Rattus norvegicus: one gene and its partner. The protein of the gene in region 2 interacts with the protein of the main gene of each other region in a biochemical or structural test. Links are inferred from orthologs where the notes say so. Each region holds a gene or a part of one and is shown on either strand. Other genes may lie near its edges.

The links. The genes of interacting proteins can lie anywhere in the genome.
Region 1: the proteins of Kit (region 2) and Lyn form a complex in vitro, tested with the Homo sapiens proteins (2 studies listed by BioGRID and IntAct, with this or other methods). The link is inferred for Rattus norvegicus from reciprocal best matches to the Homo sapiens genes KIT and LYN.

What each region holds. Positions count from the first base shown.
Region 1 is NC_086023.1:21,547,633-21,554,298, reverse strand, and holds the end of Lyn (tyrosine-protein kinase Lyn), read right to left. Parts: intron 5,229-6,666; coding exon 5,097-5,228; intron 3,066-5,096; coding exon 2,863-3,065; 3' UTR 1,202-2,862; downstream 1-1,201. UniProt on the Homo sapiens protein: Non-receptor tyrosine-protein kinase that transmits signals from cell surface receptors and plays an important role in the regulation of innate and adaptive immune responses, hematopoiesis, responses to growth factors and cytokines, integrin signaling, but also responses to DNA damage and genotoxic agents.
Region 2 is NC_086032.1:32,942,450-32,949,115, forward strand, and holds part of Kit (mast/stem cell growth factor receptor Kit precursor), read right to left. Parts: intron 5,028-6,666; coding exon 4,758-5,027; intron 2,788-4,757; coding exon 2,506-2,787; intron 1,283-2,505; coding exon 1,146-1,282; intron 1-1,145. UniProt on the Homo sapiens protein: Tyrosine-protein kinase that acts as a cell-surface receptor for the cytokine KITLG/SCF and plays an essential role in the regulation of cell survival and proliferation, hematopoiesis, stem cell maintenance, gametogenesis, mast cell development, migration and function, and in melanogenesis.

The sequences.
Region 1 (6,666 bases), on a different chromosome or scaffold from region 2:
TATCTCACAAGGAAACAAGGAAAACAAACAAACAAACAAACAAGCCCCAGTTTAGTCCTTCAGTGTTGAATGCACTGGATCGCTCAGTCATGAAATTAGATCTTTTAAGAATTTCAGGGCTGTTGTGTGAAATGGAGAAAACTTTGATAAAGTGCCAAAGTTAAAAAAAAAGCCTGGGGTAAATGGCAGGTGTACTCAGAGTCAACATTTCCCTTAGCAAAAGTAGCAAGACTTGCCAGCTCCTAATCTAAAAGGTTTAAGTAGGAAAATGTGGAGTTGCCCTCCCACTGGGAGGAGGGGAAGAAGGAAGGGAGCCTCCAGGAGGTGGGGTTTAGCTGCTGGCTTTGCTGGTGGTAAAACCAGGAGAGCCGGAGCCAGCAGTCGGAAGAGCATTTCATTTCATTCAACATCTTAGCCCTGTGGTTCTGCTGATTAGAAAGGGGGCGAGGATGGAAATGAGTTTAGAACTCTCTCTCTCTCTCTCTCTCTCTCTCTCTCTCTCTCTCTCTCTCTCTCTCTGTGTGTGTGTGTGTGTGTGTGTGTAGGTGTGTGTGTGTGTGTGTGAGAGAGAGAGAGAGAGAGAGAGAGAGAGAGAGAGAGAGGTGGGGGAAGGGGGAAGGGTTGGGGAGGGAGGAGGAAGGGAGGGGGAGAGAGAGATATGTGTGTATGATAGGTAATTTGTGTGTATGTGTAGATGATGTGCAGGTGATGTGTATATATGTGTGTGTGAGATATGTGTGTGTATGATATGTGTGTGATGTATTATGACACACACACACATCACACACACACTTATGGATGTGTGTGTGCATTTGAGTGGTCAGAGACTTGGGTTTTGGTCTTTTCACCTTCATCTTTTTGGGGTCTCTTGCTTGTTGCTGCATATGCCTGGCTAACTGGACCTCAAGCTTCTGGGGACTGTCCTGTATCTGACTCCCACTCCAGTAGGAACACTGAAACTGCACAAAGTACCTTTTGTTTTACACAAGTTCTGGGGGTGCAAATGAAGATCCTTAGACTTAGCAAGCATTTTACACACTGAGCCGTCCCCCCCCCCCCCCCCCCCAGCAAACCTGCTATCTCCTGATGAAGCAAGCATGAGGAAGAAAGGATCAAATACTCGATAGGAGAGAAATGGAAATGGAAAAAAGAAGCTGGATCGGGAGAAGTAAGAGAAAATGAAAATGCATCCTGAGCCATGTTTTAGCGATTTCTTTAACTTTAAGGATTCTTCACTCTTCCTTCCCATGAAGTAGACAATGCAGGGGAGTCCGAAATGAGTGTGTGGAGAGTGCGGGGTGGGAAGGGCCTCAGAAAACCGCTATTGTAAATCAGGTAACCAAAGACGCACATGCCATGTTTGTAAACAGGGCACTTGGGAATGAAGGGCTTTAGAATACTTTGAAAGGATACTATTTTAAAAAAATCAGGGAAAACACACATTAAAGTTGGACAAACACGAGACGTTCAATCCCTTCCCCTAGGCACCCAGAGCTTCAAATAAACACACAGATTACAACAGTAAAGGTGCCTGCAAAGCCTGTTCCTTGGGCATCCAGGCATCAACTCCTCAGCCCTCCAACCGGAAACACCCCAGCGTCCAACCGGAAACACGCCAGCGTTGGAGGCGCAGACTCCACAAGCTCCTGCAATGTGACTGCACAGAATGACTCCCTGCCCTTTCCCCACCAACCGGCTCTTACTTATGCACGGACAGGAGTTGGAATCTGATACACGAGACAAAGACCTCAAGATGTTATTGGGTGTATTAAAATAAAATCAAAAATAGAAATATTAGGTATGTACACAGTAACACCAGTGAAAGGGACAGACACAGCAGTTTCTAATGGGAGTTTACAGGGGAAAAACCCAGGTAACGAAACTGCTCTGGTCACCAGAGGCTTCTCCATGATTGCCTGCTTCCTACCTTCACGTGTAAATAGTCTCCCACACAATTTAGAAAAGATTACTGAGTCACAAAAATAGCCCCCAACATGGCATTTTAACTTCCTTAGAGTACGACTATACTATATGATTTATAAAATGTTCAAGTCATTTGAGGCAATGAGAGAAATGCTTTGTATTTTTGGAGGGTCTCATAAAGTCCTGACAGACTAGGAGAGACGCTTACGTTTCTCCCAAAGGACACCATCAGGAAAGCCTTGAGAGAAACCTGTGACTGAAATACCTGGACCATTACAAACATTCCTCTACAGGGCAGAACTTGAGGCTTTTCTGTCCAAAGGGCTCCAGTTCAGCAAAGGTCCTTCTGCGTGCCCACCCACGCACAGCGCTCCTGCAGGGGGAGTGAGTGCTGCCTTAGGTCCAGTGATCTTACCGCAAAGGAAAATGTTTAATCGTCTCATTTTCTGGGGGGTGAGGTGGGAGGTGAGGAGGAATCAAACTTCCCAAGCCAAAAAAAAAAAAAAAACCATTCGAATTTAGAGAAGATGTTTTAAAGCTCGTGGCCTTCGCCTGTAAAATTCAACAGGCTGGATTAGTAGTTTTTAAGAAAGTAAGCCAAAGCACTGAGAAGGTAAGGGAGCATCTGCTGTGCACGGGGTTTACTTTCGCTAAGTGAGTTTAGTTCTTGTTGCATCTGGGAATTTGTTGCAAGTCTCTGAACCTGAGTCACTTGGCCCACGTAGAGCCAGTGTGCTTATTGGAGAGAGGGGGTGTTTGTATTCTGACCGTGGTCCCACTGAGCAGTGGCCACCCATGTATGAAACAGCATCCTCTGTCCAGGATGTTCTTCCTGAGTTAATGCATCCTGTCCACAGGAACCAGGAACACAGAGGGTCCTGGTATTCTCCGCCACGGCTGCTTTTCCTATGAGCTCCAGTGGGCTGGTCTCCATGCCCACTATGGCTGCTGCTGATACTGCCCTTCCGTGGCAGTGTAGAAGTCATCCAGTACACTCTGTAAGTAGTCAAAGGTTGGCCTCTCCTCTGCTGATTCCTTCCAGCACATTTTCATGATGTCATAGAGCTCATCTGGACAGTTCTCCATTCGTGGCATTCGGTACCCCTGTGACAGTGCGGTCATCACATCTGCGTTAGTTCTCCCTAAGGCCCAAACAAACAAAAGCGATCATGTTGAGTTTAGAAGCCTGGCTCAATGGCACAACGCTGCAAGGGTGGGGTACGTTCTCCTCAAATCACAGATTGAAGTCTTAACTGCCAGAGTGGGGCTGTGATTGGAGATCAGGTCTATAAAGAGATGATTAACTTAAAATGAACCCTGTAGCTGGGTTCTGATCCAATGTGACTGGGATCGTTCCAAGAAGAGGTGATCACATTGCAGACACATGGAAGACCACAGAATGCCAACTGGATCAGACAGCCATCTGCTATCCAGCGAGAGAGACCTCAGATGAAATCTGCCTTACCAACTCTTGATCTCTTGGATTTTTTTTTTTTTTGAGCATCCATAATAGTGTGGAACTCCCGCTGTTTTAAACCACAGTGTTTTATGTGCCTCTTTCTCAGCAAATTAGGACAGAAGGAACTTGGAGCATCTCAATTCGTATGTTCTAGAGCGGGTATGCATGTCAAGAAGGCATAGATTTGCAAAAGCAAAACTAGGCATGCTTCATAGGCACCGTGGCCTGAGTTAGATTCTCAGAGCCTACATTAAAAGCCAAGGAAGTGGGGCTGGAGGGATGGCTCAGGGGTTAAGAGCACTGACTGTTCTTCCAGAGGTCATGAGTTCAATTCCCAGCAACCACATGGTGGCTCTCAACCATCTGTAATGAGATCTGGTGCTCTCTTCTGGCCTGCAGTCACATATGCAGGCAGAATGCTGTACATAAAATAAATAAATAAATATTTAAAAAAAAAAAGCCAAGGAAGCTGGCACACACTTGTAATACGAACTCAGGGGGAGAGTGGGGGTTGGGAGGCGGTGGAGGTAAGACTAGCAGATCTCTGGGGCTTACTAGCCAGTCAGTCTAGCCTACTTGGCAAGTTCCAGGCTGAGGGACTATCTCAAACTCAATTGACGGCACTAAACAATGACACTCAGTGCTGTTCTCTGGCCTCTACAAGCACGTGTATGTATACATGTGTATTGGCACTCATACACACGCATGCGCCAGCATGCTTCTAAATAACTCCTTCATGTTAACATGCACATACTGTCTGAACGTGGCCAAAGAATGACCCACAGTGAAAATACCTTGGGGAACTGTGAGAGAGGCTCCAGGGAAAACGGAAAAGGGCCTTTTACTTCAAGAGCACTTTGTTCCTTGGCTTGTTCTTGGATATGGCTTCGTGCCTACTGTGTTAAACATTTACACTCAATTTATAAGACATGATTATGCTTGCTGGATGCAGAACATAACTATAGCACCAAGTCTGGTCAGTGTACACTGAATCTGCATGCTGCTTTCTGCCTTGCTTTCCCAGATATACTATAATCTATAGTATGCGCCAGATGATAGTGTTTAGATTGGTCTGTCCTGAGAAAGTTCTGGGAAAGGGCTACTCTGTTAATATATAGTATGTGCTTATTGATGCTTGTTTGCATGGTTTTCTGACCTCACACAACCTTCCTTGGATCGTTGCCTTTTTGTTGTTGTTGTTATATTTGTATATAAAACTACACTGAAACTTAAATAAGGTTTCTGAAGCATCCGACTGTAGTCTGCCCTATTCCTTCAGGTCCTCAGATCCCATAACCGGCAGAAAGAGCTGCACAGGTAGGCTGAGAAGTCAACAACATGCACACAAACCAATGTTAGACCCAACTGACCTTTCAAGTTAACCATACCAGCCCAATATTTAACCTCAGTTCTCACCACTAGCAGAAGACATTGAAGACCCTCGTTCCTTGTACATGTTCTGCCCCATCTGGAGCCCCGTTTTGGCAGAGAGGGGCACACTCGTGTCTAATCTGCCTCACCGAAACACCCAGAGCAGTGCCGAGTGCACAGGGTGAAGAGTGAGTAGAGACAAAGGAGCATCTAAGCATCTTTCAGCAAGATTTGCATAAAAGGTAACGACCCCAAGCTGTCAGGAGCACAGGTAGACGAGACTGTTGTCTTCGGGGTGCTTGGTTCTTCCCTCGCACTGGAGGGGGGTGTGGGGAAGTGATACCTGGGTAGGGAATCTTCCCATAGGTGACGATCTCGTACAGGAGAATTCCGAAGGACCACACGTCAGACTTGATAGTGAAGCAGCCGAAGTTGATGGCCTCTGGAGCCGTCCACTTGATAGGGAACTTGGCACCTGAAGAGGAAGACATGGGCTCTTACTCCAGGTTTAAGCTAATGGGTTAGAGGTAATTTTCTTCCTTGACTTTTTTTTTAAAAGAAATTCAAGTAATTTACTTGGAATAGAAAAGATACATGCACAATCAAAATGGACATGGTGTCAAATGTCATTCGAACAGAGTCACCTCCCTTGCCCTTCCCTTTAGGGTCCTCCTTTCTTTAGAAGCAGTTTCTTCTAGAACCTCCAGGGGGCACTGTAATCAGCTCAACTTTAAACGGGAAAGGGTGCGGTGTACTATTTTCTTACACTGTTGGCCTTTCAAAAGGGTTGCTGAAATTTTATCTAGAGTTTAGTATGCTGGCATGCACCTGTATTCTCAGGTGAGATAGGGGAATCTCTTGAATCAAGGAGTTTAGCTTTAAACTCCTGGACATCAATATAGGACCCCATCTCAGAAAACGAAACCAAACATACAGTATCAAAACGTCACACCAAGCCTTCTCTACAACACAGTTCAGGCTTTTCTTTAGTAAGTCCATTCTAAGTTTGAGTGGCCATATTTATTATTTCATTTAAATGTACCTACTTAATTTTTAGTGCCGGAATGAGTGCTAAGTACACATTTGACTACTGAACTAGATCCACAACCAGAATTATATTTAATTTCCTTCGAGGAAAGCAAGACTTGGCGCAGTCTGTAGCTCCAGCATTGTGGAACTGCTAGGGGTTCATAGCCACTGCTTGAAAACATTATCTTTACTATGTCTTTGCAGGCATTTTCTTTTGCAGTGCCTTACTAAGACTAGTAGTCCCTATAAGAACAGAACAGACAGTTGTGTACACCTGTTGTGTGCTGGGCTCACAATCACTGACTCCTGGATTGTTTCTAGACAGCCTGGAGCAGTGGTGCATGATGGGAGGACAGAGATACAGAGTCTCGGAGCATCTCCATGTTACCACTTTCTATTTGGTATCATCCTAACATGTTCTTTATGGTCTTTGTCCTTTCTGGTATTTTTCAAAGACTCAGTGCTTGTTGGTGTCAACAAACCAGTGTAATCAATTCTCTCTCATGTACTCAAAAGCTGGATTCCCTGGCTTGGATCCTGGCTCAGACCCTTACAGAGGATCTCTAGAGTTGCAGAACCTCCGAGGCCCATCATCAGTGGTCTGCAGCATAGACTAAGTGTTACGAACATCTCTGCAGTCCAGGGAAGCACATGTGCTTTATTATTTGAGAGGGGAAAAAATCTGCCTTACAGGGTAAATAAAGAATCTTAATTTTGACAAATTTAGTGTTGACTAAGTGAAATACAAGGCTGGATGTGTGGTGCACATACTTGTAGTCCCAGCACGTGGGAGGCTGAGGCAGCAAGATTTAGAGTTTGAGGCCAGCCTGGGTTACACAGCAAGACTGTGCTACAACTCAGTGGTTGAGCTCTTGCCTTGCAAA
Region 2 (6,666 bases):
TGAGATTGTGCTCTGTAAGGCTAGCCCCAAATCCATACAGAAGCTGTTGTTTCTATTGCATTAAGATGGTCTGAAAACTAAAACTTGTTCCTCTGAGGTATTGGTTTGAAAGAACGAGTCTCCAGCACAATCCAGTCTCCAGGCCAGTGGCAGGCTTCACAGAAGAAGCAAGTCATCATCCATCGTCCATCACCCTGTGGAGCACCAGGGTTATGCACTTTGCACAGCACTCTCTATGCCAGCCTGAAATTGCCAACGGTGAGCACTGGCCAAGAGGAGGAGGAAGAGGAAAAAGAAAATGTACTTCTTTCTTTCCTGTTCACATTCCTACATGTTAAAAAAAAAAGAGAGGAACTACTGATGGCTAGGCAACTGTCTCACTAAAATTATTTAAAAGTAGAAGAGGAACTCAGTCAGTGGGAATTTTAATGGAAAATAGTGGGGAAAATTTAAGAGTTATTGATTATTTGAGACAAAAAGAAAAGAAAGAAATATCCAGATAAAACAGTCTAAAATCGGCTAGACGGTGTCCTTGCCTCACAGGCATAAGGCCTTTGGGGTCAAGCCTTAGAACTGAAAGACAAAAAGATGGCGGAAAGAAGGATTTGGCTAAAAGGTATGTACGACATGTCCAGCACAGTATCTGACACAGATAACCAGCCTCCAAAGGGGAAATCCAGAAAAAAATCCAATTATCCAAAATGATGCGGCCATCCATTCTACGGGGTTCCGAAGAGCATTGTGGGCCATACATGACAGCATTTATTCTTCACAAGAAGAGGGGGAAAAGTGTTGACAACTCTTTCTGACATGTGCCCTAAGCAGACAATAGTTTTACCTGAAGTACGTGTTATCTAGATAATATACAGTTGTTCATCGATTTTCTTCTTCTTTTTTTTTAATTTAAAAGAGTGTTAAGTAATAACCTGAGACAGATGCCCTCTCTTTTCTCAAACACAGTAACAATGTGGCGGTTACTCATCACTGACAGTAAACACCTATGCTGTAATATACACAGCTAGCCAGTATGTGAACACACCTCAGCCAGTTGCTAACAGCTAGGCTTACCAGCAGACTCACCCCTGGTCCAACTGTGTAGAGAACACAGACACTGCAGCACAGGAGAGGAATTAAACAGAACTCACCTGAGGGTTCAACTTTATCCACATGGAGTCCACGGATGTAGACACGTCTTTTATGGTGCATATCACCGTAAATGTGTCCCCTTCCTTAAGGAGATGACTTGTTTCGGGCACAGACACCACTGGGATAGCTTTGATGGCTAGAACGGAAAGGAATACAGCCCCGAAGTCAGTCCTTCTGCTACAGCGGGAACCTAAACTCGTCTTATATTTAACATGCTTTTTTTCTTTTTAAAAATGACTTTTGTTTTATCTATTAGTGTGTATCTTTGGATGCATATGCCATGTGCGAGGGTGCCTGAGAAAGTCAAGTGGGGGGGTGTGGAAGACCCTGGGGCTGGAGTTACTGGCCCATGTCGGGAGCTGGGATCTGAGTGGATCCCTTAGAAGAGTGAGCAGCAAGCACTCTTAACTTCTGAGCCACCTCTCCAGACTCAACCTTGCATTTTCTTGACTGTGCACAGCTTGTGTTAGGTATCATTAAATAAAATACAAAGCATAATAATACTAACCAACCTGTATCATTTGCATATCTAAATATAGAACTATGAAGTCATTCACTGTACAAGTAAAGTCATTCCTGCTGAGTGAAAAAGACAGGAGTGCCCAGTACAAGACCATAAATACCTCTGGCATTTCCCCTCGGGTGGAAGAGGGTAGCATGATAAAGCAGACTTAATCTTTACCCTAGATGATTTCTTGAGGACCTAGCCTACAGCCAATAGTATTCTTTTATAGCCAAATGGGTCCTTTTCCCATATATTATACAATCACACCTTGCTTACTTCTAAAAACCCCAGGTTATAAATAATTAAAATTCCCTTCATTTTAATGAGTATAATTTTTCAAAAGCAAATTAAAAATTCTCCTCATCAGTTGAATCCCAAAGGGATGCTGAATTAGGGAATCTCAACTCTAAAGCCTAGTTTATCTCCTGGCTACTGGAGGGTTCAAGGTGATGTCATGGTAACAAGTTCCCCGGGTTGTAGGCACTTTCTTTCCCAGAGCGTGAGCGGCTTGGGAGCCAGTCAGCTATAGGGAAAAAAAAAATCAGGTCACGTGTTCATACATATTAATGTCCTTGTAGACTAAGGTCCTCAAATTAAATCTTCCCATTGAGTAGGGACACTTGTGGCAAGGATGTCACTTGGGGATGCCCTAAACCAGCAGGTTTAACGACATCTTAGCTAGCAAGAGCCATGGACCTGTCACTCTGGAGGAACTCACGAATGTCTACCATCACCTGGTCCTGGTCCTGTGTCCATCAGCTGTGTCCTGATGCCCTAGGCTAAGTTGGGAAGAGAGACGTCATCCCCGGGAATAGGGTTTCCATCTCCCACAAGATGTGAGGGAGGGGACGTACCTGCCCTCACTTTGAGGGTGAATTTGTCAGACCGCATCCATTTGCCCTCACGCTGGGCAGCACACCGGATGCACAGCCGGTGGTAGGCGCGCTTCACGTTTTTGATGGTGATGCCAGCCTTGGGGTTGGGGACGAACTTCAGGTCCGTGGGGAGAGATTTCCCATCACACTCAATGAGGGAGTAATTGGACACCTGTGGGTCTGTCAGGGGGCAGCGGACCAGTGCGTCATTGTCTTCTTTGCCAAACAAGGGAAGGCCAACCAGGAAAAGTACGGCAGGATCTGTGAAGCAAGACAAAAAGCCAACGTGCTGGACCTGGACACTGAAGGCACCTTGCTTGCTGGCTTGTTTCCACAGCGTCTCACAATGCAGCCCTGGCTAGTCTGGAAACTTGCTTGTAGACCAGGCCGGCCTCGAACTCAGAGGTCCACCTGTCTCAGCGGGGATTAAAGGCGTGTTCCGCCACAACCTACTCTCTGAAAACATGTTTAAAAGATTACAAGCTTGAGATTACAGGCTTAAGAGATTACAAGCTTGAATAACACAGTGGATTTCAAAGTTCGCTCTTTTGTTCATCATGTACAAGTCTGAGCTAGCTTATCCATACGTAGACCCTGCGCATGCAGACCTAAGGCCGGAGTGGAGCTTCTGATCTCCCGGAACTGAAATTCTGAGTGCCAGTGAGCTGCCCAGTGTGGGTGCTGCGAACCAAACTGGGTCCTCAGCAAAAGCAGCCAGTGCTCTTAAGGGTTGAGCTTCCTCACCGGCCTCCAGCACCCCAGCTTTTCATGTGGGTAACTAAGGATCAAACGCAGGTCCTCATGTCACTTGACTGACAAGCTACCGCCTCAGCCCTCTGAAATTCTGTTTCCAAATTATCCTTTCTACCTGGAAACCAAATGTTATAGACACACCAACAGAATCAGTTACCACTGAAATATATGTCACTTAATTAAAACAAACATCAGAAGCTGCAGGTGGTTTTCTGTCTATACTTTCTCAGTCACCAGGGTGGAGGAGCCTCCCTCCTCTCCTCTCCCTTTCCTCTCCGCAGCATCCATTAGTTAAGGGTCCGAACATGAAGAAAGGGTGCGAGCTGAGTGGCTCCCTCAGCCATCTCCTCAGACATGCAGGCATCTACACAGCTTGCCATGAAGCTGAATGGCGCCTTCCTTACCATTTGGAAATTACAAAATGTCTTCTCCAATGTCACCAGCAGCTTTCGGGTGGGCCCGACAGTCCCGGAGCCGAACCCTCAAGCTAAGCTGTGGCTTATCGCTGAGCACGTCTCCTCAGCTGCCCACTTAAGGAAGGACGACTGATAAAGCAAAAGCACAGTCAATTTCACGGCGATCTTCCGAGGCAGCTTTATTAACCCCTGTTTGAGCATGCTAAGATTTGTATAATTGTGTTTCCCTAACAATCCCCTGAGGGAGACTGCTCATCTTATCTGAGGCCCACAGTGAGAAATGGAGGCCCTACGCAGCACACCTCCCAGGCCCAGGCAGACATCCACCAGAGACTCACAGAACTGCCCACTGTAAGTGACAGACCCAGTCCCGGTACAACTGGTGCTACCGCCTGGACTGCCTTTTTCCTGCCTTCTCGTTTGTCTCTTAGACAGTCATTAGCGTTGTTTCACATCACCCAAAGGATAGCATCCTGTGGGTTCTTGACATGAGAGCAAACACGCAACTACAAACTGCTGAATTCGTCTAGAAAATGAGGTACAGGGCTCCAACTGTCACGTCTCTTTGTCTTTTGTTTCCGAGAGGCTGTAAATTGTTGAAAAGAACCAACTCCGAGAGAGCTTATGACTGACAAGGGATGCTTAGCTGTCTGAGCTGTTTTCTGGAATTTACTCCCTAAGTCTTTTGAAGTGCTACTCTGTTCGGGCCTTTTGAGGCCTTCGGCTCCCTGAAGTGTTTTTTACTAAGTGGGAATATTTAGTATCTCCAGGCATTTAAATACAGTTTTCCCAAAGGGCCTAATTTCTTCTCAGGGTTGACCCCAAAGCACCAGGACAAATGGGTTAACCAGACTGGAATCCAGTTCTGGCCTTGCAGACCCCCAGCTGGGGTCACACCCAAAGCCATGAGGAAGTTGGGGAAGAAAAACAAGTACATTAGGCCTCCTTGAACCAGCTAGCAAAATTCTGCCTGTGCTCTGGTCAACTACGCGGCCACTTAAAAGTAAGGACAGGGTAGCGAACACTCCAGAGCACAGCGACACAGAAAACGGGAGCGTTTACCTCTAACGAACACGTAAATAGAGCTCCTGAGGCCGCTGCCGCTGACGCACGTGTATTTGCCCGTGTGAGTGGCCTCGGCTTTTTCTCGAATCCATTCGCTCTGCTTATTCTCAATCCTTACATCGAGGATCTCGAAAGTCCATTTGACAAAGGCGGGGTCAGTGCACGTCAGCCTGATGGTGTCGCCGGCTTCAACTATTAACTCTGACTGGGCCGGCTGGATGGATGGTGGAGACGGCTCCCCTGGACTCGCAGATGGCTGAGAAGTCCCTGCCAAGAAAAACAAGGACTGTGCTGAGCGTGAGCCGTCTTGGCAAAATAAAGCCTTTCTTCTAATATCAAGCCGCTCCTCGTCTGTGTACGCCACAATAAAAATAGCCCTGCTATTTGTGGCTGCAAAGGGAATTCTGTCGAAAGTTTAGACTCATCTATATAGTTATTCTCCGAAACCTTCAATTAGTCCTGCGGGTCACACCTGGTGTGCAAGCTATCGAACTAGACCCAGAGCTTTCTTGGGGTCAACCATGCCCAGTGACGGCGGTCGGTCCTTGTGGTGTGGCTACAGGAAGATACACCTTAAAAACCACTGCAACGCCTTACACAATGGAAACCAGAAACCAAAGTGAGCGGCTTGATGTATTCCCCAGCGCTGAGCCACGGGGTTTAAGTCGCCCTTGCTCAAGTAACGGAGCCCCAACCTCTACCCATTAGAGTAAAAGGCAACAAAGACAAAACAAAAAGACTCTGTTAAGGTAGGAAGGGAGCTGACAAGAGGCTGACAGGAATGGGACGGAGGGGACTCTCTCTCTCTTTCTCTCACAGACACACACACACACACACACGTATGCATGTATGTATGTACATATATATACTATAATATACTATATACTATATGCATATACTATATAAGCTATAATGCGCATATGCACACTATACATAGTGCGTATGCACACTATATAGACATATGTAGTATGTGTGTACATAACTGAAAAGTACATTAAAAAGAATGTGCATGACAGAAGGACCTCTTTTTTTATTTTCTTCAAGCTTTGGAATTCACCTATTTTGATACAATACTCCTTACAGGGCAGTGCTCACGGTAACAACATCTACAAACCTCCAAATGTTACGGTAAAAAGAAAAAATGACAGAGTCTGTCCAAGACAATAATGACAGGGACCACAGTCATCAAAGGTCAGTAAGCATCAGCAACCAGGGAGATGCTGAAGGGTGGACAGAGCCAGTCTGGGCTCCACGTCTCAATGGCCCAGTCTGGTTATGGAGATAAAGCTGCGAGGACTGTTTCCAGAGGCCTAGGAAGCCTCTGGGGATAAAATAAGAGGTGCTAGGGTTGGGGATTTAGCTCAGTGGTAGAGCGCTTGCCTAGCAAGCACAAGGCCCTGGGTTCGGTCCTCAGCTCCAGGGTGGGGGGTGGGGGGGTGGCTATTGTTTCAGTTCCTTATGTTCCGATAGTGTAAACCCTTGCTGAAACATCAGAGAGGGAGGATGGACATATGGAAGGACGGACTGACTGTTCCAATGAATACAGAATACTCTCAGGACACTGACAGCAAACTTGACCCAAACCTTTAGCTGACACCTCATGTAATTTGGTGAAATTTAAAAAACAACTGACACTGGATGTATCCGGGGTTTTTATTCTCAACAATGACTTATAAGCTCAATCTTCACACACGCTATAAGATAAAAAGTCTTATTAGGATACAAATGAAGGTAATGTCTATTGTCTTGTTTCTAAACCATCTTCAATGTTGTTATCATGGCCTCACCAGATGATGATGACGACAACGATGACGATGATGATGATGACGACAGAGATTCAGGTTTAGAAAAATAGAGGTTCACATTAAAGGACTATCCCTCAGAAAGATACTCCAGGATTACAGGG